Oryzias latipes: one gene and its partner. The protein of the gene in region 2 purifies or fractionates together with the protein of the main gene of each other region. This does not show direct contact. Links are inferred from orthologs where the notes say so. Each region holds a gene or a part of one and is shown on either strand. Other genes may lie near its edges.

Region 1 (16,915 bases), on a different chromosome or scaffold from region 2:
TAAATTTGGTCACATTCAGGTTATCATGAACTTTATAAGTTTAATCAACATCAGGTGTGGTTTTTCCCTGATTGGATGTCCGTATCATCATGTGATGGAAACTGAATCAGACCAGGAACACAACTCTACCTAAAATTTAAGGTAGACGTGTTCTCCCTCACATCTGCCAGCACTGCAAAAATGGAATCTTAAGAAAGTAAATGAGCTTGAAGCCCAAGAAAGCGAAGCAGAAGTCTTCTGTTCGCTCCTGTCCTCAGGAGTGCAGCTTCTCTTGGACTCCTGCACTGTCCAGACTCCACATGGATCAACTGGAGCTGTTAGCAGCATTTCTTGCTCTTCAGCACTTCTGTGACGTTCTGAGTGGTGATCATGTTTTGATCAGAACAGATGCCACAATTCATCTGGCAGACTTGGACGTACATGAGAATTCTAGAGTTACAGACTGTACAGTTATTCTATTATTATTTTATTCAAATTTTTCCTCTTTTCTTCCCTGTATATTTTGTGTCTGTGTTTGTCTTTATCCCCCTATTTCCTTAGTGCTGCTACTGCAACTAAATTTCCCTTCGGGGATTAAAAAAGTTGTTCTTGAATCTTGAATCGTGTGTGTTATCACGTGGACATGTCAACTTAAAATAAAATAACAATTTTAAAACATCTATTTTGAAAGTGCAACTGAAGTTTTTATTTTGAAACTCAGACCCGTTTCCCATTTCCCTGGTTTGTTGTCGCAAAATCGACAAGTTGGCGGACTGGAAACAGAACTCCTGCGTAAGGCTTGCATTGTGTTACGGCGAGTCAGACGCAGACTGAGGTGATGTAAACATTCTGACTGATTAATGAAATTTCTATTTTTTGAGTCAATGCTTTAGAGACGGCCTGCAGACAGACCAATGTAAGTTCATCAATGTAAACTTTAGTCCCACCAAACCCTCAGTGTGCACACCAGCCTCATAAATCCGGGACGGGCAATTAATCGATCGATATATTTCCATGCAAATAGCTGATAAAATCTTTTTTGGTCCTCCAAGTTAAAGCAGAGTGAATCATTGTACCTTGGCATATCTAGGCTCCAGAGGAAAGCTGGCCATCTTCTTCCCCAGCGGGGTGAGAAGAACCTGCCCCTCCCTCTTCTCCACAGCTCCCAGCAGCTCCAAATGGTCGACAGCAGAACGCACAGCCTCTGAGACAAACAAACACACCTCACTGCCACCACATCTCCTCCTGTGCAACCACATCCGTTCCTGAGCTTCATCCGCCTACCTGGGGAAGGCTTGGACATGAAATCAAAGTTCATCACATCTGGAATCCCCAGCGCCATGAGTTGAAGCATCACGCCTGCCAAGTTACACCTGCAAGGCACATGGCGGCATTCAGTTTGTGTGATCTAAATGCAGAGACCATGCAGGAGCAGCAGCTGAAAACACAGCAAACTCGGTTTTATTCCCTACCTCTGGATCTCCGGGACAGTCATGGGGAGGAAGTTGTCAAACTCCTGCTCTGTGTACAGACGGTAGCAGAAGCCAGATTCCTCCCTGCCAGCTCTGCCTGCTCGCTGCCACGCCTGAGCCTTTGAGACTCGCTGCACGGCCAGCACCTCCAAACCACTGTCTGAGAGCCACAGCACAGCCACACTCAACCATCATCAGCATCGAAAGAAATGTCACTTTTCAGTGGCTCATTTTACCAATATTGATCTGAAACATGCACACACCAATTGTCTTTTTTTATTAGAAATCTTTAGTGCATTAGTATAAAACTGAAAATATTTCACACAAATAACCAATTTTACATCAAAACCTCAAAAGAAATTGACATTAGAGAGATTTTATCATCGATTGTGCGTGATTTTAAAAAGGATTTTCTTGTTAAAGCTCCAAAAGTGACTTAAAATAACCATCAAAACCATTTCTAATGATGGAAAAAGACCAGAGGTTTTTTTTAGAAGTTTGTAATGTTAGGGGAAGTTTCCACAGTTCTGACTGGGAGTGCAGAAAAGGCCTGCATGGAGCATCTATGGAGCTGCTGTCTGTGTCTGGATGCACGGATGGGTTTGTTCGCTGCAGATTCAAACCCTGTTGGTTCACAAAGCAAGAAGATCAAAAGCCAATCTGAAGAAATACATGTCATGTTCAAGGATTCTGACTGAAGGGAGTCCTTCTTCCACAAAAAACCTCCTGTCTGCTAAATTATTTTTAAGTAAAATAACACAATTCAGATATCTCTCCTTTGATCTTTAGCAGATGTTTGCATCTGTATGACCACTCAACCACTAGAATGAGCCGTTTTCGAAGCTACATGTGCCAACCACATGTGTGAGTCAGGATCTTTATATAAAGATTATCTGATAATTATTGCTGGACTTCAGGGAAACCTGAGATGGCTCCAGATATTGATGTTAACTTTGTCTGAATCCCCAAAGTACTGGTACATTTCTGTCACAGCCATGTGTTATCATCCAATCATTACAGTCTCCCCCTAAAGTTTTCTTTATTTTTGTGTTGAATGAATAGTCTGGGAGCAGAAGACACTAAAGCTGGCACTTAAGGCAGTGGTCCACAAGCCCCAGACTCCGGACTGGTACTGATCCGTAGGTCACTTGGTAAGGTAGCGCAGATAAGAAGAATATTACAAATACATACTTTAACTTAGAATATTTCGATTCTGTTTATTCCCTGATTCTGAAGGAAGTTTTGTTTTTGAAAAATACTGGATTCGGCTGCTCAGACCGCCAAATTAAAAGCCTCAATCTAACAAATGTAATAAAAAAAATAATAAATTAAAACGTATTTGGAGGGTAATAAAATTGTTTTTTTAATTTAAAAAATAGAGTCAGAAACCGGAAACATTAAAAAAAAAAAAATTAACCACCAACTTTTGCCCCATTTGGATCAGTCAGTGAAAATATTGTCTGACAATAAACTGGTCCGTGGCTTACAAAAGGTTGGGGACCCCTGACATGAGGGCTGCCTTATTAATAATTTATCTGATCAATATTTGGGGATATGAAATTATTTGACCAAATCTTCATAGGACAGAGACAAACACTATGCACTGATCTGATCAGTACTGAATATCCGTCAGAATTCCAAATTGTCCCAAATAACTAAAAAGACAAAGGCATAACGATCTTCTGCTACGGTCTTCATTGAGAAGGTGCAATGATCTCACCAGGGTTGAAGCGTTTGGCCTTCACCATCCCTGTGTCAATGACATATTTAATCCCAGAGATGGTCACAGATGTCTCTGCGATGTTGGTGGACAGGATGACTTTTCTGCAGCTCTGGACAAAAGCATGGAAAGCTTCAAAAACCAACATCTTAGAATTCAACTTTTATTGTAAAATCGTTCCATGGGGTCTTTCAATTACGATTATGCAGTTTTGAGCCAAAACAAAAAGCCTTTGTTCTGTTTTTTAAGGCATATTTTAAGCAGTGGGAGCTCATTAGAAATTCAATTCTGGCGCAGAAGTTAGCTGCACTCATTTATCATCTGCTATTTGTTTACACTCACTCCAGCTAGCTTCTAGCATCTCACAAGCCCAAGTTAACATTAGGGTAGCAAAAAAAACAAAAACATCAGAGCTATCCAGCCGTCCAGTTTAGAGCCAGATGGCAGCTCAGACAAGGAAAATTAAGATGTTAATGGATGTATTCGTCTGCAAGTGAATACTTCAGAATTGCAGCTGAGAAGGATGACTTTGTCCCGCACATGGCAACCTTTTTCAAACCGAGGGTTTTCATCTGCTCCTTATCCAATAAAATTTGAATAAAGAAATACTCAGAAATGCAAGCTTAAGCTTACTTTTCTTTATATATGTCCTCCATCCTGAGAAAAATGCTACAAGAACATGTTAAAAATGCTCAAAACGCTATTTTCATTGGAGTGGGTCTTCAAACAGAAAGGGTCCTTTTTCTGATCGTTTCCTGATGCTCACCTTGGGAGCCGGCTGGAACACCCTGAGTTGCTGCACTGGAGGCAGAGATGCATACAGGGGCAGAACCACCATGGACCCGCAGCCGTCGGGGACGTGCTTGGAGATGTCTCGACACGTCCTCGCCAGAGCCTCGATCTCCTCCTGCCCCGTCATGAACACCAAGATGTCGTGAGCTGGCGGTGCCTCCTGAACACAACAGAGACATAAAGAACCATCACTTCACATCAGCACTGTTAAAACATCTATTTCCTCCAGAGAAGTGCTTGTTATTGTAGATTTTTATGTTGGATAGATTAGATGGATTACCTGATGGATCTGGAAGATGGAAACTAGTGCAGCCTGAAGATAGTCTGACTGCTGATGCTTGGTGTAAAAGATCTGAATGGGGTGCTGCCTCCCTTCCAGGTATAAGACAGGAGACTTGTTGAAGTATTCAGAGAACAAATCCACATCCATTGTGGCAGACATCACTATGACCTGTACAGGGAAAATTAAAAAAATATATATAGGAAAAAGAAAACAGCCTTTCAGATGTCTGCAAGGAAAATTGGACAGTCACCAACACACAGGTATGGAGCTGCAACACAAAGAAACGAGACAGAAAACAGCCAATCTCAGACGAGACGTTGACAGCAAGTGAAAATTGAGCATTTTCTTAGTTAAATGCCAAACATCTTTCTCTTCCTAATAAGCCAAGAGATGGGCTGTTTTCAAGGAGTTCAATATCCAGAGGCAGACAAGACATGCTAACTGCACTAAGCTAATTGGAAAAGTGCAGGGTCTTTTAAGATGAAATTCATGGTAATTGGAGCAAAATAAATCTATTTTGGTGCTTTTCTGTTGTATGAGAAGAATTTAAAAGTATGCTTTTGTAATAAAATATCCATTAAATAGTTTGCATGTAATGTCATTATAAGGGTTCAATGCATGCAGGTCTGTGTGTTGGCCTTCACAAATATTTAATCAAAAAAAAGACACCCCCCCCCTCAACAATATTACCGGTAAGTCGATATGAATCAGTCTGTAGATATTCAACAGATGTTTAACATTCAATTTAATAAAAATTGTGAAAGTTATCTCTAAATAAAAAATAAAAAAATGATTTAAAAAAACTAAGATTATTTTGATAGCAAAGTCACAACATCCGGATACTTATAGAAAAACCCAGAACTAAAAGTAAAATCAGTGAGGTTATTCTATAGGATTAAGATTCAGTAAAAACAAAGTTAAAAAAGGTTTTAAAAAGCTTTTTTTTGGATAAAGCTGCTTCCAGGTGCACTTTGGAAACTTTGATTTTCAAAACCTTGCATCTTGTTTTCACACATTTGCTCTACAAACTCTTCCACTTCAGAGTAAAAGCATATCTATAGAAATACTCATGATGTCTAAACATGGAGGACTTGCATTGTCCTCTAACCTTCAGGGGGATCTTATTGAGCTCCCTCCGTCTGCGCTGCGCAGTCTTCACCACACCAAAGAGCACATCTGTGTGCACGGTGCGTTCGTGGGCTTCATCAAGGACTACCACAGTGTACTTCAGCAGCAAGGGATCTCCTATGGCCTCCCGCAGCAGCATGCCATCAGTCATGAACTTCAGCTTCGTCTCAGAGGAGGTGACATCTTCGAAGCGCACCGTGTAGCCAACCTGAACAGAAGAATTTAACAAACCTTTTTAGCTTTACATTGATATGTGTTAGCAGGCTCCTTACATGCTCCAGCAAGTTAAACGTCAAACTTTAAAACAGCAGCGAGCCTCAAACACACATCTCTACATCCACTGCTATATTAAACATACACTTTTAAAGGCCCACTCTGATGAAAATTGTGTTTTTAACATTTTTTACGTGTTCTTGTGGCATTTTTCAGTCATCAAAGAGAAAAGGGGCTACTTTGAAGAACCTACAATACGACATATTTTCAGTTATTTCACACTTTTTTGTTATGTATATAATTCCTCGTGTGTTCATTCAGAGTTTTGATGCCGTCAGTGTCACTCTTCAATTTTCAAAGTCATGAAAATAAAGAAAACTCTTTGAATGAGAAGGTGTGTCCATTCAAATTATGTGAATCGGGATCAGACGATAAAATGCAGTTTGAAAAATAGCTTGTGACGGAGAAAATACGCTAAGTGGGCAACAAGATCCCTGCTACGCTCCGTTCCAATGCTGTTAAGTTTTTGTTTTCCTCGCCTGAGCTGGAATCCGGCTCAAAACTGTACGACTGGATAGCTCCAATATTGCTCGCCATTTTTGTTGCAGCGGTGATATTAGGTTGGGGGTGTGAGGAGCTGTAAGCTAACGAGAGAGAGTGTAAACAGAGAGCTCTCTGCAACGGGGAGGGGAAAGAGGTCATTCCATGTCAATGGTCCTGCCCACAACTCAGAGGTGAATTTCTAATGAATTCCTGCAGCTCTGCAGAAACTATGTATTAGAACAGTGTTTTTTAACCAGTGTGCCGCGGCACACTAGTGTGCCGTGGGAGATGGTCAAGTGTGCCGTGGAAAATTGCCCTCATTAACTGATCTAAAAGCATTTCCCATCTCCAGGAAATCAGCTCTTTGTTCATCCAAACAGGTCCTGATAAAACACTGAGTAGTTAGGAATATAAACGATCATAAAATACTTTTTTCTTTGTGTTTATTTGATTCTATTAAAGACATTTTGATAAGAATGACGGTAACGCGAAATAGCTGCAGCTATAACTGTGTAAGGAAAAGTCCCGCAGCTTTTACTGTCTCCACGACTCCACCAATCATTCTTGAAGGCTTAATCACATGTCATCAGTCTGACCAATCAGAAGTGGTTAAAGTCTCCACTTCCTTGTTCTAATTTAGCTCATAACTCACTCAGTTCCAACAAAAACACCAGCTAAAGCTCGTCTTTAGCGGTGTAGCTTTCCACAGAATCCGGTATCAGACCGTGGAACAAGTGAACAAAACCATGAAGCTCAGAGACGCGAGTCTTTCTGCCGTTTTCTCGCAGTATTCACACTACATCTCCCATGATGCATTGGCTTAATGAGTCGTCCTTTTTACACGTCTTGAAAACACAACGAACATACAGTTTGTATGTAACTTAACTTTTATTACATCTTTTAGAAAAACATCTGCAACTTCCTGCTTTTTCTGCCACAATTATCACAAAAATGCACGTCAGATTGCCGGGGGGGGGGGGGGGGGGGGCGGTAGATCAAAACAGACTATGAGTTTCTGCTTTTTTTTTTTTTTTTGGATGCTGGTGTGCCGTGGGATTTTTGTCAAGGTTAAAGTGTGCCGTGGCTCAAAAAAGGTTGAAAAACACTGTATTAGAAAACAACACAGAGTTTTTGGTTTTGACTAAACTAGGAACACTTTGATAGATCAAAAGATGATTGGAGTGGGACTTTCAGAGCCAGGGCTCCTTATAGTTCCTCATTTCAATACAGATTGTGGGGATGGAATTGAGTAAACTACTTACACTATCTATGTTTGTCATTTCACAAACATTCAGAGTGAAACAACATAATTAAAGAATGGCTGCATGAAATTTCAGAGCTGTATTTTAGTGGTGGGATTTCTTCAGATCCTGCAGTAATACTGACAGAATGGAGATGACAGAGGAGGTCTTTTACATACCAGTTTGCCGATTTGAGTCCTCTTCTCTTCCGCCACCCGTCCTGCCAGAGAGATTGCAGCGACTCGACGCGGCTGAGTGATGGCGACCATACCCAGACGACCGATCCCGGCTTCATACAGATACTGCGGGATCTGTGTGGTCTTCCCAGATCCGGTCTCACCTGGTGAGGATTGAACATGTGTTCATTTGAGCGCCATTAACAAAAATGAACTTAGTCTAATCATGACTGCTTACTACTTGCTGTGGAGCCTGGGGAACTAGTAAGAGTTAACGTTAACTATGGCTAATGACAGTTAAGTAATAAATGTACCTATTATGATAGCATTTTGAAGTTGTCTCAGTTGGTTCAAAAGGTGCGGCTTTGCCTGGTAAATCGGAAGCTGTTTCCTTTGGACCTCTATCGGAGTGCTCACATTCCCCTTTTTTGGCAAAAGCATTCCAGGTTTATTCCTCTCCAGGCGGAAAAAAACAGACCCCGGCTTGAATTTTTTAGCCGGAGGAGGGTCGGGCTCGTGGGGCATGGTCTGCAGGAAGCCTCCAAGAGAACCAAACTTAACCAGCTGGTTTGTCTGGTTGTTATTACCTCTAGAGTGGAAGATTCGTCTCTAAAAGTTTTGTTTTGCGTGCCCACCAACACGCGACAGAGCGTCCCTGCGGATGTAGGGCGCCTTCTCAAAGACGTCACCGCGTGTTAACGCGGCGCACACGTTTGACGTCATTAACTCTACATTCTTTTTTTGTTCGGAGTGCATTTAAGACAGTTATAATAATCAGAAAAATACAGTAATTTAAAAAAGGGGCATGTATCTTTCCATTTACATAGATGAATGAAATGTTTACATAAAATAAAAAGCAACACCGATGACGTCAGAAATCCCCGAGGCCAGATTTTCCATAAAAAAAAAGAACACCAGGTAAAGAAATAAAAAAAAAGGAATATATAAAACTTTGAGTGACAACCAATTGTGAATATCAGTCCAAAATATTTTTATGTGGTTTCAACTGTAAAAGAGATGTTCTAACATTCCAGTTTCAAAAGAAACAGAATATGCATGGTTTCGATTAAAATTTGAATCTTTTATGTAAAAAATCTCCAACTGGGTAAATTTTAGATATTATTTTAAAATGCTTTTCTTTCATTTTAGGTGGAAGTGGGTACTTTGTGTATAAAGAAAAAGATTTGTCCATTAGGGAGATTTCTAGGTTGCATCTTGTTGCAGAATTTTTTGTTTAAAGGTTAGAGTTACTAATTAATTGTTGTATTTTTTATCTTTTAGGGGAATATCATTAATTGTCAGTTCTGGAAATTGTGGTTTGATTGCATTGTATTGTTGTATGTTATGAATAGGATTAAGTAAAGGCATTGGAATTGCTTTACAGACTTTATTATAACAGTTACTAGAATCCTTAATTTTGTATTTAGTTACAAACTCAATGTATGATAACAGCATTCCATTAGAACGCATCAAGTCATAGAGCTCTACATTCTCCCTCCACAGAAATTAGTGAAAACCAGATGCATTAACTGGGGAATTTTACAAACAATTTAGTATTTCAATTGCTCCTTTTGTAACGCAGGTTTTCTTAGAAAGCCTTAGCCAAGGAACTCTACCTCCAACACTGAATCAAGGAGTGATCACTCTTCTCCTATAACCCAAAAAAGACACTCTCAATATTGGCGCCCGATCAGTTTATTGAATAAGGATTATAAAATGATTGCCTCTGTATTTACTCACAGACTTAAATGAGTCTTGGACTCTGTAATTGGAGAAACCCAGTCAGGATTCATGCGCAAAAGACATTTCTAATAACATCTGGCTTGTGCTGGATATGTTAGATTGCTCACATTTAATAATAGACGAAAGTTATATTCTTTTTTTGGACTTTTATAAAGCTTTTGATTCAATTAATTCCACGTTTATTTTTAGCTGCCTTCACAAATTCGGTTTTGGCTCTTATTTTTGCAATGTAATAAAACTATTATACAGTAATGCTAACTGCTCAGTAAAACTAAAATATGGTACCTTTCCCCATTAATATTAAATGAGGAATACGACAGGGTTGCCCCATCTCGCCATATCTATTTTTATTAGCCACTCAGACCTTGGCAGATTACATAACTATAAATAATTTGAAAGGCATCTCTGTCTTTGGCAAAGAGATTCTCATAAGCCAACTAGCTGATGATACAACCATTTTTTTTATAGATAGCAGTCAAATTCATTAAGCCCTAAATATTGTAAAAGCTTTTTTATAATGTCTCTGGACTATCTTAACATTAAAAAATGTGAATTACTATCTATCGAAAATGACAAAACAGGATCTATATATGAAATTCCCATCAAATAGAGTCTAACATACCTAGGGATTACCATCGCCAAAAGCAAACTAGAGAGAAGTTCTTTAAATTTCAGTCCTGTAATAGAGAAAACCAGAAAAAGTTTTAATTTATGGCTTCAAAGAGACCTGAGCTTAAAAGGCCGAGTACTGCTGTCAATGGCAGAGGGAATCTCTCCACTCACTTACTCTGCATTATCTCTTTACATGGGCAATCAAACACTATAATCTGTTGACCAAATTTTGTTTAACTTTATCTGGAAAAACCGACTGACACCACCACAGGAAAAATCTGCTTTACTACTACCCACAAGAACAACAACAAAAAAATATGTACGTTATTTTAAAGGGATGTCATTTCTGTACCATGTACTAAAACCTACTGGAGATGTTTGGTTCCCGATAGTATTTGGATGGAAAGGCTGGAGTGTGACCCAAAAACTATTAATAAATAATAAAATGAAAGAAGTTTCTTTTAAAATAATTCACCAATCAGTTCATGCTAAGATACGTGACAATTGATCCTGACTGTACTTTTTGCAAAACACAACCAGAAACAATTAACCATCTTTTTTGGAATTGTACTCAAATTAGAATCTTTTGGAAAAAGTGTTAACAAATTTATCAGAAAACATATTCACCCCAACTTCACTTTGAAATTTGAATATATATAATTTTTAATATAACATAATTTTTGGCTTTCACAATAAAAACTTGGACTCAAGTAAAAAACTAATAATTAATTTTAATATTATTCTATTTGGCACATTTTATATTCATAAATGCTCATTTTCTTCATCTTCTATTTTTTTCCCTGTGTTAATCAAACAAATTGAAATGTATCTAACTAACATCTCTAAAAGTCCGAAAGCTGTATGTTTGTATGGAAGTTGTAGAAACCTCAATGTTTTTATGTAAAATGCATGTAATATGTATGCTCCCCTGGCATATTTGAAGTTTACTATGTAAACTGTGTTTTGTATTGTACTTCCGTTTTTTACAATAAAGTACAACAACAAAAAAAGAAATGAGTGAAATTAAAGAAAGAAAGAATAAAACTGTGAAGTAAGTAAGGAACCTAATTGTGACTTATATCATCACTTTACACAAAATGTACACAAAGAGTGGTCTACAAGAAATAAACACAAATTTATGAACACAAAAGTGAATATAATTATTTAAATAAGTATTTTTGACGTCACATTTTACTTTAAGAGGATTTCAACACTAACTGAAAAAATAATTTTAGATATTATTTAGATACCAAAAATGAAAATACATCTCTCTGTGACCTTCACATTCACACCATAATAATATATTTTTACTTGTTCTGATAAAAAAAATTGAATTGACAGAATCGTCATTTCTTCTGTATGCAAGCTTTGCAGTATGTGATTACTCTGCACAATGTGAGAAACCTTCTGGAAATTAAACATCACATAATTAACAACACAGAACTAATCAAATTTTCTTTCTTTTTTAGATCTTTTTTTTTTTTGGATCAGTCCTTTCTAACCAACCAAATGCAGAGAATTTTACATTAATGCTCATGTGGGGTTGTGTCCTTCCAGACATCCTTAGTATTGGTCCTCATTAATTCCTAACACATGAGATGAAATGTTATAACGACTAATTTAGATTTAGGTTTCCTATGAACACAGCATTTTATGTTACCTTTTGTAAAAAAATGAAAGCAAAAGTTTTCTTCTTTTTGCAAAGTATACTGGTTTTTCAAATTATTCAGATGTGTGCCAACTTCTGTTTAAAATGCACAGTTGTTCTTTACGTTTGCAACACATTTACTCAAAAGACCTCAACCATCTGAACAGCTGCCCCCTGTCTGAAGCGGGAGAAGTTGTGCAGTTGTTGTAAATCCTGTTGAGGTCACTTCTGGGCTATTTCGTTGTATAAATAAATAAAAAAAACATTACCTGATATGCATGTTAACTGTTAGCTGGTTAAATGAGAGCTGTGTTAAAGATGGTTGTTAATTAGAGACAAGATAAAGATTTTATGCAGTTAAAACTCTGGAAGTTAAATCAAGTTTATATATACATGATTAAAAATACGTGAAAGTTAACTTTTTAAGAATATATTGTGCTTTTACTAACTCCTCTGATCCACTTCCATGTTTTTCTGACATCTTTCTACTTCTCTGATGTCCTATGCGTTCAGCCAATCACTGTCGAGAGGCTGCACAGCTACATTTACATGGAACGAGTATAATTACAGTGACTGGTCTCCTTTGAATCACTCGGTTGCGTCAGTCATCTGATTCAAAATGCCCGAACCCGCCAAGTCTGCGCCCAAGAAAGGCTCCAAGAAAGCCGTGACCAAGACGGCCGGCAAAGGAGGAAAGAAGAAGAGGAAGACCAGGAAGGAGAGCTACGCCATCTACGTCTACAAGGTTCTGAAGCAGGTCCATCCTGACACCGGCATCTCCTCCAAGGCCATGAGCATCATGAACTCCTTCGTGAACGACATCTTTGAGCGCATCGCCTCCGAAGCCTCTCGTCTAGCTCACTACAACAAGCGCTCCACCATCACCTCCAGGGAGATCCAGACTGCTGTGCGCCTCCTACTGCCCGGCGAGCTGGCTAAGCACGCCGTGTCCGAGGGCACCAAGGCCGTTACCAAGTACACGAGCTCCAAGTAAACTCCTACTGCCACGAAAACCCAAAGGCCCTTTTAAGGGCCACCCACATCTTTTCCTGATGAGCTCTACCCTCTTACTTTAAATATGTAAGGATTGATTTGTGAGTGTTAAATCAGTTCTCCGGTTCACCAAGATTAAAAATGTAAAACACGAGGAACATTAGGGCCCGATGGCTAAGGGGAGCGAACAATAAACGTAGAAATAAAGCACTGATGCTTGTGACAAAACTACACGAAGTACAAAATTTCATTAGTCAATTTCAGATAAGGGATAAAATGTACAAAAGGGACTTTCAATGATACACCAGCACGGTGCACTGTCCTGATGCGCGTGCGAAGTCACTTCCCCTTTTTACAGTTTTAACTTGTCATTTAAACTTTCATAAATGAGAATGAACTGGTAATGTTTATTTGTAAACATTACCACAGTTTTCTTGTAATAGGAATACGAAATCTTAATTTGTATTCCTCGGTTTCGGTTAAAGCCTGTTCGTGATAATTTGCATTTGGCTCCACCCAGTCAACTTCTTTGACGTCCGCTGGATAGGAATAAAAAGCGGCTCTCACGTTTGTCTGTTATTTGTGTTAGACTTGTCTAAGTGAGAACACATCATGAGCGGAAGAGGCAAGGGAGGCAAAGGTCTGGGGAAAGGTGGCGCCAAGCGTCACCGCAAAGTTCTCCGTGATAACATCCAAGGCATCACCAAACCCGCCATCCGTCGCCTGGCTCGTCGTGGCGGCGTCAAGCGTATCTCCGGGCTCATCTACGAGGAGACTCGCGGCGTGTTGAAGGTCTTTCTGGAGAACGTCATCCGCGACGCAGTCACGTACACAGAGCACGCCAAGAGGAAGACTGTGACCGCCATGGACGTGGTCTACGCTCTGAAGAGACAGGGCCGAACCCTGTACGGATTCGGAGGTTAAACTGCAGCTCCAGCGACAAAAAACAAACAACGGTCCTTTTCAGGACCACCCACATGACTGACGAGCAAAGACCCGCTTCAGCCAGTCCAAGCTGTACAATTCAGACAAGTCAATACATCATCGATAACTTTAAAACTGGTTATGAATATAATGTAATACTATATATTACAAAAAAGTGGTTGTTATTCATCAGAAAACATTCATGACTTAAAGAGTAGAATGACACATCACGTGACAGATATAATACTCTGTTAAGTTGAGAATTTTGAAAAGATTATGGCCAAAATTAGAACTAAGAAGCAATTATTTGAAATCGTCCATATTTGTGTGAGAGCAAATGACTTATTACATGATGCGATTCAATTTTTTACTGTTTACTTCTTTTGGAATAACCGGTTACACAGTATGTATACGAACTAGTACTATTTAAGATAAAAAAGGTTAGTTTTTGGTCTACATAGATTATATTCTATTTTACTTTCATAAAGTAGGTACATCCTGTGTCATCCTGCTTGGTAAAAGTCAAACATGACATTTTATACGATTGTGGTGTGCATTCATCGTTTTTCTCCTTGTATTAGTGGTCATTAGAAATAGATAAACTGTCAGTGTATTATAATTTTGACTTTTTTTTTCTCTTTCTGAACGTTTCCATATGTTGTCTTATGAGTTTTTATGGAACAGTGTCAACAACAGTGTTCATGCTTTATGTTTTAGATTTTATATAACTTCAATGCAAAAAATGTGAAGAGAAAAGACTAAAATCTAAAGAATGTTGCAATGAATTAAACAACGTCAGGGCTGCATTTTGACTTATAAAGTGCAAATTTATCTGCAATCCTTGAAACTGATGTAGCCCACATGTCCTCTAACATAGACAAAGTTTTTTAATACGTACATATATGTCAGTAAATTGTAGGCATTTGGTCAATTTCAAATATCTGGGAATTTCAATCTAGAAAATGTGGGACAAATATTTGTACCTGGAATGAAATCCGATTACTTTGTTCCCCTCAAATGTAGTTCTAGACTTGTTATTGTAAGCCTTGAGATGTGAAAACAGCACTAAAAATGGGTTAGAATGAACTATTTCTGCAGTTAAAATACTTATGAAAGCATACATAGTTGACTAAATTGTGTAAGTGTTGTCACTTCACCTTTGTTTTGATAGGATCAACTGGATGTTAAGCTCACTTCTCACTTTTTAACCAATACTCTTTACTTAAGACAAATCAAATTGACATGTTGGTTTCTTCTACAAAGCCAGAGGTGTTATTTTGGTTGGACTGAAAGGTCTATAACACAGACAAACCTCCATCTCATAAGATATCAAATTTACCGTTTGAGACTACATATTTAGACAAAAACGTGAACCTTAAATTGTATGTTTCTGCAATCCTTCCTAAATCTGTCTGTTCTCCAGTGCAGCTAAAAGGAAGCCTATTTTCAACCCTAATTATAGAGCAACAGCTGCTATTTATCCTAATTTATTATTGAGAACTGTTAACTGTGAAGTTTTGTAATTGGTGTATTCTACTACTGTTCTGTGTCAAATGTTCTAGAAGAAATATGTTTGTGCTGTGTATTTGGCTCCACCCAAGTAAGGTGTCTTCTTTGACGTCCGCTGTTCAAATTTATAAGCTGTGTCAGTGCGGCTGCCATTTCAGAGTACTCTGGACTCACTTAAGATATCAAATCAACATGAGCGGAAGAGGCAAGGGCGGCAAAGGTCTGGGGAAAGGAGGCGCCAAGCGTCATCGCAAAGTTCTCCGTGATAACATCCAGGGAATCACCAAGCCCGCCATCCGCCGCCTGGCACGTCGTGGCGGCGTCAAGCGTATCTCCGGGCTCATCTACGAAGAGACTCGTGGCGTGCTGAAGGTCTTTCTGGAGAACGTCATCCGCGACGCAGTCACGTACACTGAACACGCCAAGAGGAAGACTGTGACCGCCATGGACGTGGTCTACGCTCTGAAGAGACAGGGCCGAACCCTGTACGGATTCGGAGGTTAAACTGCAGCTCCAGCGACAAAAAACAATGGTCCTTTTCAGGACCACCCACATGACTGACGAGCAATTATTCTCTTATGAAATCTATCTTATATTTTGATAAATCAATGACTCGAGTGAAATCAGGCAAGTTTGTGAATGTTTACTTCAGCATACTTCTGACACAAGCTTAGGAAACATCATTTAATGACGGACTATTTGAAACGGTGACATCTAGCGGAATAACAAAGCTCAAACGGGGAGTGGTTAGTCTCCCAGTTCTCCAATTTGTATGAATGACATCTCAATCTGTAGTGATGTGGTATTTCAGATGCATGATTGAACAAACTGGAAAACTGAGTGATTAAAAGGAATAACTTGAAGTATTAAGTTAATTTAATTTTTATAATTCAAAACTTCAGCACTTTGTTATTTTACCATCACAATCCTCCAAGTATCTCTGACATTGACCTGAGGCTCCAAATGTTCTGACTGAATCATAAATGTGTGTATTTAGATATTGAGCAGGTGTGCATTCAAATGTCTTTACTTCTGTCAATTTATATATAAACCTCAAATTTTAAGTAAACTAAAATATTTTCCGCTTCATAAAAATGTCAATTATACAAATTTTAAAATATGAACTGGCTTTATCGCATAAGAAACAAAGCCTGGAAATATAAATAAAATGTGTTCAGACAAAGCAAATGATTTTCATTTCACTTTACTTTATCAGAGCTGGATGCCTGTCAAAGTAATGTAACACGTTTGTTTGGGTAGAATAAGTTAAAATCTATACAATTCATGTCCATAAATCATGAGTGTAATACAGCACTATACCTCAAACTACATTTCTTGATTGTGATTAAAGCAGCATGGATCTTGGAGAATATTCATCAGTCTTTTAAAGATGTAAAAGAAAAAAAAATGCTGTGTAATCACATAAAAATGTTATGTTAAAAAATGAACAATGTTATCCTGTCTTTGGCCCTTTTTCAACCGTTACCTTTGTTTCCCGCCTCAATTTGAAGTTTGAAACCCAACCAATGACACAAGGTACATCCCCCTTTTCTTGACCAATCAAAGTCGACGTTAACCCGGCAGCGTGCTTAAAGAGCGACTGCTTGTCGATGAGAATCATTCGTTCTTCGATTCCGAACAACTCTCGCTTGTCCACCAACGATGGCCAGAACCAAGCAGACTGCTCGTAAGTCCACTGGAGGAAAAGCCCCCAGGAAGCAGCTCGCCACCAAGGCTGCCCGCAAGAGCGCACCCGCCACCGGCGGAGTGAAGAAGCCTCACCGCTACAGGCCCGGCACAGTGGCTCTCCGTGAAATCCGTCGCTACCAGAAATCCACCGAACTGCTGATCCGCAAACTGCCCTTCCAGCGGCTGGTGAGGGAAATCGCCCAGGACTTCAAGACAGACCTGCGCTTCCAGAGCTCCGCTGTCATGGCGC
Region 2 (16,380 bases):
AAGTCTTAAAAATTGCTGAATAATTGAGATGAGGATGACAGTGGGAGCCATCCGCTGGCTCATCACCGTCTGACATCATGCATGATGTCAAGATTTGAAATGATTGGTCCCTGCAGATCCATCAGGGCTGCACCTGACGTGACATATGAATGCATAATAAAGACAGGAGCCACGTGAGGAGTTTACAGTGCTGTCAGGGCTGCAGATGTGCTCAATAATTCAGCATGCAGGTCTTTTTTTTTTAGCCACCTGTTTCTAAAGCAGCCCGTGCTAAACGTGGCATTGCACCTTCCCGGACTTCATAAAACAGAAAGCGAGTCCAAATTTCAAACCGTTCCTGCTGAAAGCGGAGCAGTCTCTGGAACAAACGGTGCTAAAAATAAATACATAAATAAAAAGCGTGCACTCGTGTTAAGGTTGAACCTGAGCTTAGTCTGAAGGATTAATGATTAAAAACAAAAGGCGAACCTTGGTTCTCCCCGTCCATCCTGGTGGTTCTGCCGCTGCAGGCGTCACTGAGCGGGGATGTCTCTGCACGAGCGCCCGAAGCGATCCGGATACCTGCTTTCCTCCTCCTCCTCCTCCTCCTCCTCCTCTCTCCTTCCTCTGCTCTGACTCTCCTCCTCCAGCATGTGATCACTTTCGTCTGAGATGAGGATTTTTCACTTATAGTCTAAGAAATCCTGTTTTGCATGTTTGAAGCTCTCAGATGTTTTAAAAATGACACACACACAAAAAAAACTATTACCCACACATTGGACCTGTCCCTTAATTGGGCATGTCCAAAGTCCGGCCGGTGGGCCAAGTGCAAACATGTGGCCACGTACTTTCTAAGGACTGATTGTGATTGGCTAAACTGCGGTTGTAAACTTGCAGCAACAACCTGTGGCTACTTTACTGAAATTGCTCCATACTTTGTACAAAAAAAGACAACTATTTGTGTTATTTTTCTGTTTTCGTGATTTAATTTTAGAGGTACAGTGAGCATTTAATAGGGCAAATGTGTAACATTTCATGTGAAAGATATTTTCCCAGACTTTATAGATAATTCTTTCTTAAAAATCACTTAGATATATTTGAATTCTGAGTGACAGACTGAATTATCTTTAGTTCCTGAAACAAATTTCATGAAATTGAATTAAAAATTATCTTTATAGAGTTTAATGAATGCAGACCGACAAACACCTCGACTCAAAAGCCTCTCAAACTCTTGAATCAACTTCGACTTGGAACAAAAAAACTTGAGTTTAAACTTATCCTGAGTAAACCCTTCAAACTACACTTGTGACGAACACTGAACTGGTCTAAAATACCTCGAGTGTCTACTTTATGGATTGACTCTGGATTGAACAATGACTTCAGATTAAGCAGATTGGTCAAAAACACTAGAACTGAATTCAACTAGGAACAAATAAAAACAACAAATTTAGCCTTAATTTAGACACTGAATAGACCTTGACTTCTAAGAAAAAGTACTTGGACACACGTCAGGACTTTCACTGACTTGTGAACTTCGCCATTTCATGTGAAATCTTCATGTTCACTTCTATAACTTAGTTTTTAGAAATGCTGCATCTATAAATAGAATCAGGTGGAGATCCGCTGTTTTTGCTTAGACCTCGTAGAAAACAGTCTATTGTCTCTAAAAAAAATAGTCTCACTTTAGAAGTCATCTCGAGATTTGATAACCTGTATTTAGTGTGACAAAAAGGCCTGATGACAACCCAATACAGTAAGTGATTGGCTTTTCTGACATTGCTTAAAACACAATACGCAGAAACTCACACACACACACACGAAAAAAATCACAACTTTATTGCACCTTTTCAGGTAACTATATTGAGGCTAGAGGGCCTTTCACTTTGAAAGTTCTCCCTCCTGATCAGAGAGGTTGGTGCAAAATACAAGACTCCATGAGAACATTGAGAGTTCATTTGCTCCAGCATGAAGCTCTGCACCACAAGTCACAGCCTCCTTTTCCAACAAACTCAACATCTGAACAGCTTCGGTCCAGGGCGACATGAAAACAACTCTCAAATACATTTTCAAAAGAAATTCTCAAGTGAACATCCACCAACTATTTTGAGTATTATTAGCACATTTAAGATCCGTTTTTTTTCCTTTAAATTAGATATTTATAGTCTTAAATTCTACACTGTATATGGCCAATTCAAGGCAACATCTCTAGAATGAAAAGAAATGCATCTTTACAGCAATACAGATAGAAGATGGACTGTACAGTCGTCTACAAAGCTTTTGTTGATCCTTTTTCTACAAATATGTGCCCGTGGTGGTGGAGGATGATCCTGTGGTTCCTGAAATAGTTTGTATAAAACAGTTTATACACAAATGTACACGATGCGGCATGGATGCCCAGAGAGAGAGGGCTAAAGGTGAGGTACAGGGGGTCTGGGTACCTGAGTGTCAGCCCAGTTTCTGGGAGGGTCAGAACATTGCATAAAGAGAAAAAGATGGGAATCAAGAAGGTTTTCTAGGAAACTCTGGATTTGAAGTTTTTGATAGGAGATTGATGACATCAACAACTCAGTCTGTTACTGCATTTAAAACAATTCTCACCATCCGGGTTTGCCGTAAAACCTTAATGCACAGTGTAGTAAGGCTGGTAAGGAGCAACACAAACATGGACCACCTAAATTATAATTATGGGTTTTGCTAAAAGTGTAATAAAAAGTAATACTTAAAAATATAGGCAAAAAATAAAATAACCAAAAAGGTTAAATATAGATTTAAATCAATTTATGATTTGTGTAATATGAAGGATTTCAAAATAAAAGGTCACTTCTTCACTGTGAGCCCTTTACTGTTGCTGCTTTTGCAGCAGTTTGCTCAGACGGAAAAAAGTCAAAAACAAACAAAAACACAAATAAACTCCTTACAACTGGGTTGCGTTTTTTTCTTTTTCATATCAACAATTTGAGGACCAAAAACTGAGCCTTAAAAAAAGCAGACCTACAGTTTTTAGACAAGATGATCACAGGTTCCCTTTGAAATATTTGATGCTCGGACTTCAAAAGATTTCCACTAAAGAAAACATTTCCTGATGTTTCTGTTCACCCTCAGAGATGAAGGTGCTGTCCATCAGACCGTCGAGCGTCCTGGAGCTGGCACACGCACAGACGCATTTGGTTTGGCAACTTGGTTTCGATTTCCAGATTTGCGGTCAGCGGCGTTCCGCGCCCTCACCGTCTGCCACCAAACGCCCTCTTCCCTCCGAGCGTCACAGACCACTTGTTCCGCCTGTCTTGGATCTTCTGGAAGAAGTTGCTGCCGTTCCTCCACTTCTCACTTTTATAGCTTTTGACTTTTTTCACCTAAAAAAAAAAAGACAACAAAAAACCGGTTAAAGAAATTGTGATCATGATTCTTTTGACTGTTTTTCGGTCATTTTTTTAACTCACCTTTCCTCTGTCAAAATCTTCATCCCACTCATCAATCACAGTGTCGAACTTGGCATTACGGACATCTTCAATGGCATCCCTGCTGACAGCAGACACCTCACCATCCCAGGTGAGGACTAGACCAGGAAAAAGACAGAATATTCATTTGAAACTATGATTTCCAACCAAAACAGATTCTGTGATCGGGTTTAGAAAATTGGAGCCTTTTCCTCACCGTTTGCTCCATAAGCTTTATCCGAGGAGTTCTTGAGAAGCTCCTCAACTACGTTGCTCGTCTTTTTCCCATCCCAGGCCACACGGATGGGAGCATCTACTGCTGTACTCCCATCCGCTTGACTGCGCTTCGAAACATCCTTTATCTGACTGTCCCACATCACCACAGAGGCTGGACCCCCTTCTATGAAAAAGACAGCAAAAGATGAATCATTTAAAAGCCAATACCAATTTGGAGCCAATATTCTTTCAAATGTCCTTGCTTTGAATGATTCAAAGCTTAAGCTGAACTTGAAAACAAAACCCTTTATTTGAAATGACTTCCTGATCACATACTCGTGTTTTCTTTGCTCGTTCTGCTGTTCTCTGAGGCGTCAGGCTCACAGGGGGGGTTCGCGGGCAAAGAGGCAGCAGATTCCTCGCCTTCGTCCCTCAGTCGCTCCTTTTCTTTTAGCCGCTTCTTTTTTACTTTTGATTTCTTTTTCAACAATCCGGAGTCTTGTGTGTCATTACAAACGTCTGTGGTGTTCATCTCAAGATTCCTGAATGTAAAAAAAAAAACAAAAACAAATGCAATGAATGCATTTCTTGGAAGAAGAAAAAACCTGACTTTTAGTGCCTCTGATGAGCAGATTAATTATGCATTATGTTTGTCATTAGTATGCATCTTAAACAGCTGGTTGCCATGGTAACAAATAGATGCCTACATCACAGACATTAAAATAAAAGCAAACCTTTTTGAGCTTTCAGATGTTTCCTGCAGAGAATCTTCCAGATCCTGAATGATCTTTTTCTTCTTCTTTTTCTTCTTCCTCACCAGCTCCCTGTGCTGCTCTTCCTCAGCTGACTCGCATGCTTTCGGGCTCACGTTAGATATCTGGCACTTTTTTTTGGAGGGTTCTGCATCCGATTTAGACGTCAGGCTCCATAAGCCACCCTGACACCAATCCTCCTCCTGGATTTTCTCTTCCTCCTCACGCTCCCTCTTTCGCTTTTTCCTTTTCTTCCTGCGTTTCCTCTCGCTCGCCGTCTCCAGAGGGCTGGAAGGTGTGACGGGAGTCGAGGACGTCTCCGGCTCGGTTTTATCCTCCGCTTCAGAATGCCGACGCTTTTTCTTCTTCTGCTTCTGGCTCACTTCTGGAGCTTGGGGGGAAACATCTGACTGTTGAGTAATCATTTTGGGGTTGTTGGAAGACTTTGGACTCTTTGGGCTTGGATGGTGAAAACCATTGGTTTTATGAGACGGGCTGGCGTCTGAAACAAGAAGGCTCGGCTGTTGTACGGATCCACAGAAATGGCCAGAGGATAGTGACTGAGTTTTAGGCGAATGGAATGGACCCGCCCTGGAAGAGATGAATTAAATATGTTAAAAGGACTTTTTTTTAGCCTTCAATAATCGAGGGTTAAAGTACCAGCAGATTCATACCCGTGTGTATGGCTGGGTGTGGCACTGGTGAAGGAATTGAACTGATTTCGATGCAGAGGGTCACGGGACAGCCGGTGTGGCAAATGGGACAGAACATCAGTGCTCCGATTCTGGCTGGGAGCCTGCAGTTATCGACAAAAATAAAAACTTGGTGGTCTAAAGAAAATAACCATGATTGTGACAAAAACAAAGAGGAAAATCATATGGGGGGGGGGGTGACAGGATGGCGGGAGTTATGTTCGGAGTGAAAAAGAAAAAACAGAAGAAAGGTATGAAATACAAGAATTAGAAATAAAGAAAAAATAAAGAAAAGAAATGCTTACATGGTAGATTAGACAAGCACATTGGAGAAACAGCATTACATGAAATCAAACATTTCCATGGTAGTACAGACCGCTTTTTTAATAAGGCAGATAAAAAATGACCTTCTTGGCTGACAGGGCCAGTTTTTTGGCAGGTGGAGGCGACATGGTGTTGGTGGCTTCAGATGCGATGCTATTGAGCGCTGGGGGTTTTACTTTAGTCATCTTCTGCTCTTTTGTGCTCTGCGAGCGATCCGAGCTTCTGGCCGGAGAAGCCAGGCTGCTGGATCCCTTCCGAGGAGTGGAGGGAGTCTCTCCTGCTGGTGCACTTTTGGTACCGATGGAGTCCTGGTCAAAAGAGGGAAAACAAATTTTAAAAAAAACTAGGCTTACGATCTCCCTCCTACAATAATTAAAAAGTCTTCATGGCTGCACCTTTGACTCAGAGGTGTCAGCAGAGGAGGAGTCCGACAAAGACTTGAATGAGGTAGATGCTGCCATTCCTCTGCTCTCCCCACCCGCTTTTTTATCCCCCTCCATCCGGCTGACCCCGTTGTTGGAAGGGGTGGGCGTGGTGCTGCGCGACTGCACCTGGCCCTGAGGGCTGGGCTTCTTCACCTTCTTGAAAGGCTCCTCAATGACGGTGGGCCCACTCCCCAGCTTTGGTGGACCGTTGGTAGCGTTCGTCCAGTTGGGGAGTCTTGGCTGCAGCTGAGCATTGCCACCATTTCTGAAAACGGGGAAACCCAAGCCGCTGTCCATGGACTGAATCTTCCTCAGCTGTGCAGGCTCAAGTTTCTGTCAGGAAGAAACGACTTCTACTGAAATAAACGTCCTCATTAACACCGAAATCCTGTTCATTCTTTTTTTCTCTTATACCTTTGTGACCTGTGGGGAGGACAGAGGCCCATTTAGGTTAGCTCTCTTAATCTGCTCCGACGATGCATTATTCTTCCCAGAATGCAACATCCCCGTCTTGGTGGTCTGTCCATCTGCAGTCTTCTTAGTTTCAGGGATCCTGCGTTACACACAAACTCTGGTTACTTTAATAGTACAGGAAGTGCACAGATCTTTTTTGATCTCACCGACTTACCTCAGGTAGAAAAGCACATATGCCTGCTGGTTCAAAACCACTTTGATGTTACTCGACTGCACCATTGAATCATTCATCTGGTACCACTGCCCGTTGCTTGCCTAGAATAACAAAAGTTAGAGAAAATTTTGATCCAAAGCAGCTGTTTAAATAAAAGCCAAACCGTTTATTAATCTGCATTTAAAACTATTTTTAAAGTTAAAAACTAAAAAATTAAACAGGTGACAAGCCATTAAGGTTGAAATCGTTAAATAATTCAGGCTGAGGTGGCCGACATACCTTGATGTAGCAGTAGTAATGGCCAGCATGACAACTGTACCCAGAATGCACCAGCACAGCATAGAGGCCATACATGACAGGATCACCGGAGCTCTGAGACATGTAGGGGCGGATGTTGAGGAATTCTGGGTATCCAACATCCTTTAAAAAAAAAAAAAAAAAAAAAAAAAAAAAAGAAAACAAGGAAAAATATTCAGAGCAGGAAGTAAAGTTGCTTTTTTTTTTAATTACCCTGTTGATAAAAAAGGAAAGTCTTTTTAAAAATATGGTAATTAGATATTCTCAAATAGGCAATGAAAATACGATTATTAAAAAAGCGCTGGTTAACAGGAGGGTCAATCTTCCGATTTACTTTGGACACCTTAAGTACATAAAGCATGATGTTGCTTTCAAACCTCCTGTTCTTTTGAATACCTCCGCCTATCTGTTCTTCATAAAAATGTCCAGTTATTAGCTTTGCTAATGTGGAAACTAATATGTCTGCAAAATAAACAGCAGTTTGCTGCCATCAATTTGTATTTAAAAGAAAAAAAGTTTTGTTGCTTGGATCGGCAACACTGGGGTGTTATGTGACTTCCACCTCCTTCATTTTGTTCACACATTTGCAGGTATAAAACTACTAAATATATATCCATCTTTAATTACAAAATCTAGTTATAAGTGGAAAAAAACAGGAAGTCTTCCTGGGAGAAATCTATATGCTAATTGGATATCTTATTACCAGATAACTGCTGTTGTGGCATAAAAGACACCAGATTATCTACGTACTCTTTTAGAAAAGTCCCCCACATAATGATCTAATATTTGGTGGACATGTTAACCCCCCCCTTTGTCACGGGACTGATATTGATCGGCTAACCTTTGTTATTTTTCCTCCACTAAAGTTGGCAAACCTCTTCAGCGACAAGGTCAGAACGTTAGATGTTCGATGGACGGTGAAGCGCTTGGTGGCCGGCACTTTCTTCTTGCACCTTTAAAAAAAAAAAAGAAATCACATTTGAATGAATAGATCCTTAAAAAATTGAGTTTTGTTTTATTCCTCCAGTCAGCGTTTAGTGTCAGGTCATGAAAAAGGAACTCACTTGGCGCACATATAAGCATTTTCTCCACTTAAAACATCTGGTTTAACAAACAGTTCCAGGGCTCGAACGATGTTTGCCGTTTGCTGGAAAACAACAGAACAATGTTCTTGAAGATCGATTTTTTTGTTTTTTTTTAATCATCCACTTTAATCAGCTTTACAAGAATAAATGAGGTTATTGTAGAAATATTGTGCTACACACCCGTATCTCCACAGCGATGTCAAGGTAAGGGTCATAAGTATCTGACACACTTTTGCAAATAGAGCACTTTACTGAGGAAAAGAAAAAAAACTTTTAGACATTAAACAACGTTTAGATCATCATCAGAATATTTAGAGCTCAGTGATGCATCACCATTGGTAAGAAAAAAGTCTGATCTAAGTAGAGAGGGTGGACCAAATGAACCCATACCTCTTGACCTGAGGTAACCTCCAAAGATCTGATGGACCAGTGTTGTGGCCTGCGTTTGCCGATCCAGCCTACAAGCAGGAAGAAATCCGTTGGTTCAAGTCAGACCAGCATTCAGGTTTCTCATGTAAAATCTTCTCAGCAGCCTTACTTGGGGTAACCGTTGAGACAGGCTTTCTGCATGGCATCGATGGTGTACCGCAAAAACTCGTGAGCGTCTTCCTGACTCCCAAAGCGAAAATGTCGGGCAATTTCTGTTGGAAAAAAACAAATGCATCACACGTTTTTGGAACACTGCACATAATAAGATCAACTGTTTGTAGACATACATAAACAGTGCAATTGCTCTTTAAATAACTACAAGCTTTTATATTGATATAATACTTTAAACCAACATTTTCTCAAGACACAACCTCAGATTACAAGAAAACTTCCACTGTTTTGTGTTTCAGAAATAACAGCCAAGCAGTGACTCATAACTCCGGCAGCCTTGTGTCCCATTTACAGTAAACGCCTCACATTACGGCTAATGTAGCTATAAACATTTGCTCCAATGTGATTTCCTAATGGTGAAGGCATCATTCTAATGTGATCCTCACATTCCCAGCACTGCATCCTTACTCACTGAAGATAATGGAGTCACCTCAGAGTGGGAAAACAGAATGATGCGCTTATGACGAATTAGTGAGGACGAGGGAGATGACTAAATGTTTTGCATTTGCTTGTTGCTTCTAGCTGCAACCATCAGTTGTGTTAATGTGAAAATGAGCAGCAGAGGAAGGCTAAAGCTAAAGCTGCTGTCCTAAACCTGCAGTCAGGAGGAGTCAGAGAGGATAGAGGGGGTGCACGACTGCAGCAGGACACCGGGAGAAAGTACGCAGTAGAGCAGTGAGCGTGAAGGTGAAATTCACAATTAATCCCAGCTCTCCACAAGGTTAAAAAGAAAAAAAAAAAGCTACCAGCTCCTGACATGGTCTACTTTTAAAACGAGTGGGTGAAAAAATGGAGAAAAATCGTACTTTTCAGGTCCCTGATGAAGGAAACGGGCTTGATGGCATTGCCGGTGTTAGCAAAGGTCTGGATGATGTGGTTCTGCATCACACAGATCATGCAGAAACCCGACTGATGACCTGGAACACACATGAGACGGTAAAAGTCACAAAGAAAGCAGCAGCACACTCATTTCTGCTTTCATCAAGTCTTTAGGATCATTTTGAGAAGAACAGAAAAACAAAACAAAATAAATTTATGTTACTTTTTTTTTCTTTGCCATCAGAGAAGTTCCTCTGTTGAGAAATAGGGTGCAGAAATCAACACCCAATGCAACAAAAACGTTTTGATGTAAAATTTATTTAGATAGTTAGTACGCCTGAATTATCAGCTAGGACTCACAGATAAAGCAGTTTTATATAAAATGTTAAAATGTGTTGCTAAAAAGGTCTAAAAATTGAATTCTAAATGCATCAATATTGCTTAGTATTATAGAGACACTTAAGTTGCAGCTTTAGTCAGCAGTTAAAAACAGAAAATGTCACTTTCTTTGCTTTTATTCGTTTACTTTTTAAGGCTGTTCTTTAAGGAAAAAAATGCTATGGACAGATTTTTTTCTGTTAAGAAAACTAAGATGCCAAACCTCTGGAGGTTTCACAAAATGTTTTGATAGCAGCAAATGAACACAATGGAGATAACTATCTTTACAGACTGTAGCAACAGATTGGTGTACAGTATCTTTTGGAGTATAGGTCACAATTTTTGTTTTTTGCCTAGTTTGGTTGGTCCAACATGTATGTACCGTAATTCTTTTTAAATGAATACAAACAACCACCAGAGGGCGCTGTAGTTGTGTGTGTCGGTGCTTGTTACTGCCAGCAAATAAGAAGCGCCGCTCAGTCCTCGACTACATTCACACGGACCTTGGCGAGGCACGATCAAGCAACCACTTCCACTAAAAAGGCTGCGTAAACGCGGGTTCCAGGCTTCCGCGCTCAAGTGTCACTTTGCACGTGTTTATGATCGCTTTCAGGCTCTTCCTACTAAAAACCGAACCATTACAGGTTAAACCAGGATGAACTTTGACCAATCAGGCACTTGGCTTTGGTAGTGCCTTCTGTGTTTTCAAAACACACAAATGCCAACCGTTTGAAAATCGATCTTGGAGGAGAAATTAAGAATTCCTGTTTGTGCCGGAATTCTGTGACACCACGTCTTTTACACATCCAAATAGAGCTGTGAAAGAAAATGCCTGGAGCAAGATTCACAAGATTTGCACCGTTTTGACATTTCTGATCTGTGGTGGATGGACATCCGCTAGAATCGGGTAGCGACAGTCCAATAAGACCGCCGTAGGCTGCAAGTTCTGGAACGTGCATCACACCAGGCATGGCGATAAAGAACTCAGTGGATTTAGTCATTTAAAGTGATAGAAAGAGTTTTGTTGACTTGTTTATGGTTATCTTAAAAATGGTTCATGTTCATTCAGCCCCACACTTTCTTGGTCAAGTTGAAGTAAACATTCTTTATAAAAGACATTAGGTCAGGAACATTTTGCCTCGTCAACAATTGTTGTGCATACACATTTCTTATTTTAAAATGAAAAGTTAGAAAATAGGCTTAATAAGAACCTAGACAAAATCTATGTACCCACCCCACCCACACACACTTCTTTTCATTGATTTGACCTCACCTCACTCAGCAGACAGACCATCCTGTGATCTTCAGCTACACCAGTTTGCAAAAACGCCACATTTGAGATCTCCCCGTCAGACTAATGTAAGCAAAGGGGACGCAATAGAAAGGACTCACAAGTGCGACTGTGCTCCTTTGAGAGTAAGTAGTTGGCGAGTGGCGGGGTGTAGGTGAGACACTGCACAGTGGAGTTGAGGAAGCAGGTGTTTCCGAGGTTGTGAAGGCCAGCTCCCACCCTGTACACGCGCTCCCACTTCAGAGTCAGCTTGTTTGCTGGAAAGAGCATCTTCTGCGGCGCGGGGATCCCGTCACTCTGGTTCCAGATCACATTTTCCGAGACTAACAAAGCAAGGAAACAAACTGTCAGCGCTCAACAGCCAAAGAAAATTTCTTTATCTAAAATGTTCAGTTTCACCAGCTTTACCTTGCCTCTTTATCGGAGCAGGCTCGGACGCCTTCTGCCCCGTGGCGCCCTCACTTCTGGGATTCAGAATCACATACTTGTTCTTGAGGCTGTCCAGCTGATAGGAGAAACCTTTGCTGGCCGGCTCAAACTCGATTTTCTGCAGGAGGACCTTCTTGGCAGACGATGCCAACAGCTTGTTGAGATCCCCGTCCTCACCAGAGTCCTTTCGACCAGGTTTCAACGCCTCCTTGAGTTTATCCACTATCGGCATCGTTGGACCATCACTGAGGAGAACGTAAGCCGGTGAGTATTATGGGCTGTTAAGACTACATCATTGCAATTGAACTACAATGTAACATTGACCCTTTGGTCCACTCAGAACAGTCTACAATAGGGTTGTGTACATTTCCCTCCCACAGCTTGTCACAGCCATTTCAACACATTCTTTGTGATCAATAAAAGTGTGACATTAATTTATTCAGGTTTTGTTTGCAGTGCTAGAAAAAAAGAGGTACCATGTGTTTAGTGCACACAACATCCCCCACTTTGGTTAACCTTCGGCCAATTAGAATTGACCCAACCTGGAAGACGCAGGCTTGGGATTGGACATCTTCGTCTGGCGTACAGTAGAGAGAACCTGACAAAGAAATGTTTCACCATCGATACAACCTTTTTTGTATCTGTGGCATTGAACCAATACTGCTGTGTTTTTTTTTTTCCAGAACTAGATGTATTTTGTTCTCCTTTACATCAGCGGTCCCCAACCCCCAGGCTGCAGACCGATACCAGTTCATTAAAAACAGTTTGTGCCAGAACGCAGAGAGAGAGAGAGAGAGAGAAAGACAGGAAGTTTGGACATTAAACAGGTCCATGGCCTGAATAAAGTTGGGGTCCATTGCTTTACACTCATGTATAACCTTGACAGGAAGTATGGCGAAAAAAAAGATTCCACCTTTTAACACTAGGGGGAGCTGTACAATGTGTAGGATCTAATGAGAAGACAAACAAAAGCTTTAAATAATTTAACATTTACAATAATTACAATTCTTCAAACAGACTTTTCCTTTCTTTATGATTTTTCCTTATGGCAACAGGAGATTACAAATAACTCAAATCAAAACCAGTTTCTAAGTCATAAAGCCCAAACTGATACTGTCTTTTCTGTTTTGATTAAACAAAAAAAGTGAGACATTTTCACATGTCTCTCAAGTTTAGCTGCATTTTATTGACTCTGAAAGCTTGAACGCTCTTTGCCTCATCAAAGCACATCTGATGCTGCAGCACAAACAACACGGAGGGTTTCTGAGGCCAGCTGGCGCCACGAATCACAAGTCAAAAAGATGGGGACTGAAGTGGAGAAGATATTGACAAAACCCCTTCAACCATGCCACTGTTTTTATGACAGTCATGTTTTCATTGAGATGCTAATAAATCACCAGAACAGCAGAAATAGACTGTATGCTGAGCTCTCAAACCTGGTTTTCAGAACAGCGTCTGTATTTTCTGCCAAACTGAATGCAGTGATTACTTTTCATTCAGAGTCCCTTTAATGAAAATAAGATTTCTCGATGACGCTGGGGGAGTAGAAACACTGCATCGTGCTGATTTTTAGGGGTATAATGAAGCAGCTCCCCAAGAAATGTGTTCGTCAGAGAGGGCAGTGACGTCACAAAGAGGGATGAAGCATGTATTGTATGCACAAGGGCACACTGACCTTCTCATGCTGCTGATACAACTAAGAACAAAGCCTACAGGGACACACAGCCATCTGGAGGGATGCAACTGCTGAACGAGGAATAAACGCAAACATGCCGTTTAATCAGAACACGCTTTAACTGAACCTCATGAACACACACTGAAATGAAGATGAGGCTCTGCAGATTTTTTAACCCCCTCAATCTTACAAACATACCCAACATTCAGCTCACTGTGAGAGTTATATTCATGGATCGCTGTTTTCTATAAGGTTGAACGCTTTTATCTATGTTTAATGCTTGAATGTCTTAATGACCTCAAACCCGATTTCCCATTTTCCCTCAAACCAATTACCCATGAAGCCCTGATTGCAGGCTTGTGGAACAAAACAAATGACAAAGACCTTTTTTGTACTCAAAACTCAAGTGTCTTCACGACGGCGGTCTTCAAACTGTATACTCATGCCTTTGAGTGTGTATTGGTAGGGAGGAAAGGGGTACACGTTTAGAACATAGAAACCTTAAGATTTGATGTAGAGGCAAAAAAAATTAAATTCTATGCAATATGTCTTTAACACTTGATTTTTGGCAGGATGAGGAAGAAATGTTTTATGCTCTTTTGGCTAAAAGGAAAAACTTTCTCCCAAGTTTAGATGATTCATGCAAATGAATGAGCTTCTGTCAAAATCCTTTTGTGGTCATATCTTTTTTTTTTTTTCAAATAAAAGTTTAGTTTTTCTTCTTTTTTCCCAATACTAATGAATTCCCTTATAGGTCCCTATGTTTAAAACATTGTTTAATCACTTTATTTCGTAGAAATATACCAGTTTTGAGCTAATTGAGGTAAATGCAGCAAAAATTCTGAATGAAATGTGAAGGTGTGTAAGAAAAAGTGGCTTTTACAGGAGATGCATGCATTAAAAAGAACAAATGAAAGGTAAAGCAATAATCATGTTGTCCACTCAAGCGTGTAAAAATGTAAAAAAGCTTTAATAAATCTTACAAACAGATGGAGATTTTCTTTAAAGCTACCTATGGAAATATTGAGTGAGATATATAAATTAAAACATCATTTTTGATAAAATTCGGGAATAAGGATACATTTTGGACAAAAGTAAAAAGCAAAGAGTTTACTTATTAATAATAATCAAAAGATATTTCAAAATACTTCTTAATGGAACCAAAGGTTTATTAGCATCACTTGAAAACTGCTAACTTTTCTATTATTGTAAAAACTTACTGGTAAGTTAGTGTATTCATTTACTGATTTTATTTATTTTTATGTTGATAAGGTGAGCTCAGTAACAATCTCATGCTAAAATGCTAACACGAGTACAACAAGCGGTTGTTGTCAACATCTGGGATTTAAAAGTTAGGCGGGAATGATGTAAACCTATAAATTCTCCGGAAGTCTAAATTATTCCCTTCAAACCGTTTAGGTGTCTCGATGTTAGCTAGCATCTGTGAACCCAATGCAGTAGAAGTGACAAACTAGCTAGCGAGCTAGCCTAGCGTGGCGAGTCAAAGCTTGCAATCCTGCAATGTGGGTTAGCATCAGAGAGCCCAGGTGGCTAACACCTTTTCCGACTAAGATTTCACATTTATCCTCGACGACACTGGTCTGAACACGCAGAGTCAGCACACCTTCCACGAACGGATGGGTTTGTTTACTCACCTGTTCTTCAATCAGCTAAAAAAATACCAATAAAGAGGTCCAATTTTTCAAGTGGTTCTACCGATTCTGGTATTTTCGCCCATGCTGCATTATGAGAGGGCGGGGTCAGTTTTGACAGACAGGAAGTGTGAACCAATCACGCCCCTGGTCACGTTGAAATGAAAGCGTGTAGCGAATAGACGCCAACGGTGACGTCGAAGTGTTGGCAGAGGACAACACGTGATTTCCAGTCTTCGCTGTTTATCATTTGATAGACTCGGCACGACAAATATTAGACAAATGTTTTCAGGTCATCAAGGCCTTTAAGAGTGCATCCATCCGGCAAACCTTCCATAGTAATGCTGCCTTTTTGCACGCTTTTTTCTTCTTATTTTTACTGGCAAACCTCAAAATAGGAGCAAATGTGGACATCCAATTAAGTTTAAAGATGAATTGACGTCGATTGATTCTCTATAATTCCATAGTAGTGTAATTACACCTGGTTAAAAAAAACAATCTGTATGGTTAAACCTCCAGAGACTTGTTTTATAAACTGTTATCTGTGCACATGGACTGCCTCGTGGACGTCTGAGTGCTACATTGCATGTCTCCGCTAGATGGCAGCAGTTAACCAAAATAATGTATTATTAAGTGTTTTCCTGGTTTCTAATCATTTTTCCATTATGTAGTTCTTGTGAAATGTTAGTTTTTTTTGGCTAAGTTCTCCTAACAAAACTAAGCAGTTTTATTTACCTGGCAGCTATAAAAAAAGAGGCAATTTATAAAACTTTTCAGCAATGCAAAAAGCTGAGGTAGCATTACAACAATACGGGGAAAAACATACAATAAAGCAACACAATTTGGATTAAAAAAACTATTTTAAACTTGTTTTAAATACTTTATGAAAAAATCCTATTCCTAACCTTTTATTGTTAATATTGTTTTTAGCCTGAAGTACCCACTGAGAAGTAAACCTCTACCTGAGCATCACTGCCTGAAATCTAGTTATTCTCCAACGTTTCTTAGTTTTCCCATCCTAATATATGAGGCGCAAAGGGCAAAAGACAGAACTTTAAAACAGAGTTTGTTATTTAATAATAAAATGTACAAAAATCTTCAAGATGCATGCAAAGAAAAAAAAAGGCGATGAATAATTTTACAAGTTCCACATGAAAACAACACACCATCCTAAAAAAAAAAATACAGTTTTTTTCTTAGTCCTATTAAATTCACAGAATATTTGCATGACAATAATTTCAGTGTCTCTGCAAGAACAATTATTGCTTACAACCTTTGTCACAATTAACAGACAACAATTCAATTATCTTTTACTGAACAGATGTATATTTTGCCAACACTGGTAAACCAAAAAAAAAAAAGAAATGGCACTTAAAAACAACAACAATGAGCAAAATCTCCATTTGAATGTTGAAGAAAGAAAGTTAGGTTTTAACCTTTTTATTGTTGACATTTCCTATCAAAGTACATTTTCCTTTATTAACGATTACCAAATTGAATAGACTTTTAATGGAAGTATTTGTTTACTACAAAATCTAAGCAAATATTAGCTTGTATCTTACAATCACCTTTCAGAAAACAATGCTTCAATAATAATTTATAACAGCTGGGTAAGTGCTTCCTTTGGTACAAAATGGTGGTAAGTGCTGAATACATAGATAATTAGAAATATAAGAAATGCAATCAAACACATTCTCTTTG

What was found.
Region 1: the proteins of ubiquitin carboxyl-terminal hydrolase 36 (region 2) and dhx33 purify together in Homo sapiens (affinity purification with mass spectrometry; 5 studies listed by BioGRID and IntAct, counting the BioPlex papers as one, with this or other methods). This does not show direct contact. The link is inferred for Oryzias latipes from reciprocal best matches to the Homo sapiens genes USP36 and DHX33.

Annotation. Positions count from the first base shown.
Region 1 is NC_019872.2:21,232,810-21,249,724, reverse strand, and holds the start of dhx33 (putative ATP-dependent RNA helicase DHX33), read right to left. Parts: upstream 8,224-16,915; 5' UTR 8,073-8,223; coding exon 7,862-8,072; intron 7,712-7,861; coding exon 7,551-7,711; intron 5,583-7,550; coding exon 5,355-5,582; intron 4,415-5,354; coding exon 4,244-4,414; intron 4,124-4,243; coding exon 3,938-4,123; intron 3,284-3,937; coding exon 3,172-3,283; intron 1,612-3,171; coding exon 1,452-1,611; intron 1,353-1,451; coding exon 1,264-1,352; intron 1,184-1,263; coding exon 1,056-1,183; intron 1-1,055. Other genes in the region: histone H2B 1/2, read left to right, coding at 12,170-12,544; histone H4, read left to right, coding at 15,169-15,480; uncharacterized protein LOC101170117, read left to right, coding at 13,156-13,464, 15,253-15,475, 16,592-16,915. UniProt on the Homo sapiens protein: Implicated in nucleolar organization, ribosome biogenesis, protein synthesis and cytoplasmic dsRNA sensing. Stimulates RNA polymerase I transcription of the 47S precursor rRNA.
Region 2 is NC_019866.2:10,394,963-10,411,342, forward strand, and holds ubiquitin carboxyl-terminal hydrolase 36, read right to left. Parts: upstream 14,811-16,380; 5' UTR 14,683-14,810; intron 11,598-14,682; 5' UTR 11,585-11,597; coding exon 11,332-11,584; intron 11,247-11,331; coding exon 11,025-11,246; intron 9,353-11,024; coding exon 9,242-9,352; intron 8,477-9,241; coding exon 8,374-8,476; intron 8,294-8,373; coding exon 8,226-8,293; intron 8,087-8,225; coding exon 8,016-8,086; intron 7,898-8,015; coding exon 7,815-7,897; intron 7,704-7,814; coding exon 7,592-7,703; intron 6,874-7,591; coding exon 6,733-6,873; intron 6,555-6,732; coding exon 6,454-6,554; intron 6,379-6,453; coding exon 6,240-6,378; intron 6,159-6,239; coding exon 5,796-6,158; intron 5,709-5,795; coding exon 5,484-5,708; intron 5,181-5,483; coding exon 5,059-5,180; intron 4,976-5,058; coding exon 4,367-4,975; intron 4,175-4,366; coding exon 3,969-4,174; intron 3,817-3,968; coding exon 3,634-3,816; intron 3,536-3,633; coding exon 3,420-3,535; coding exon of another isoform or gene 3,416-3,419; and 4 more. UniProt on the Homo sapiens protein: Deubiquitinase essential for the regulation of nucleolar structure and function. Required for cell and organism viability.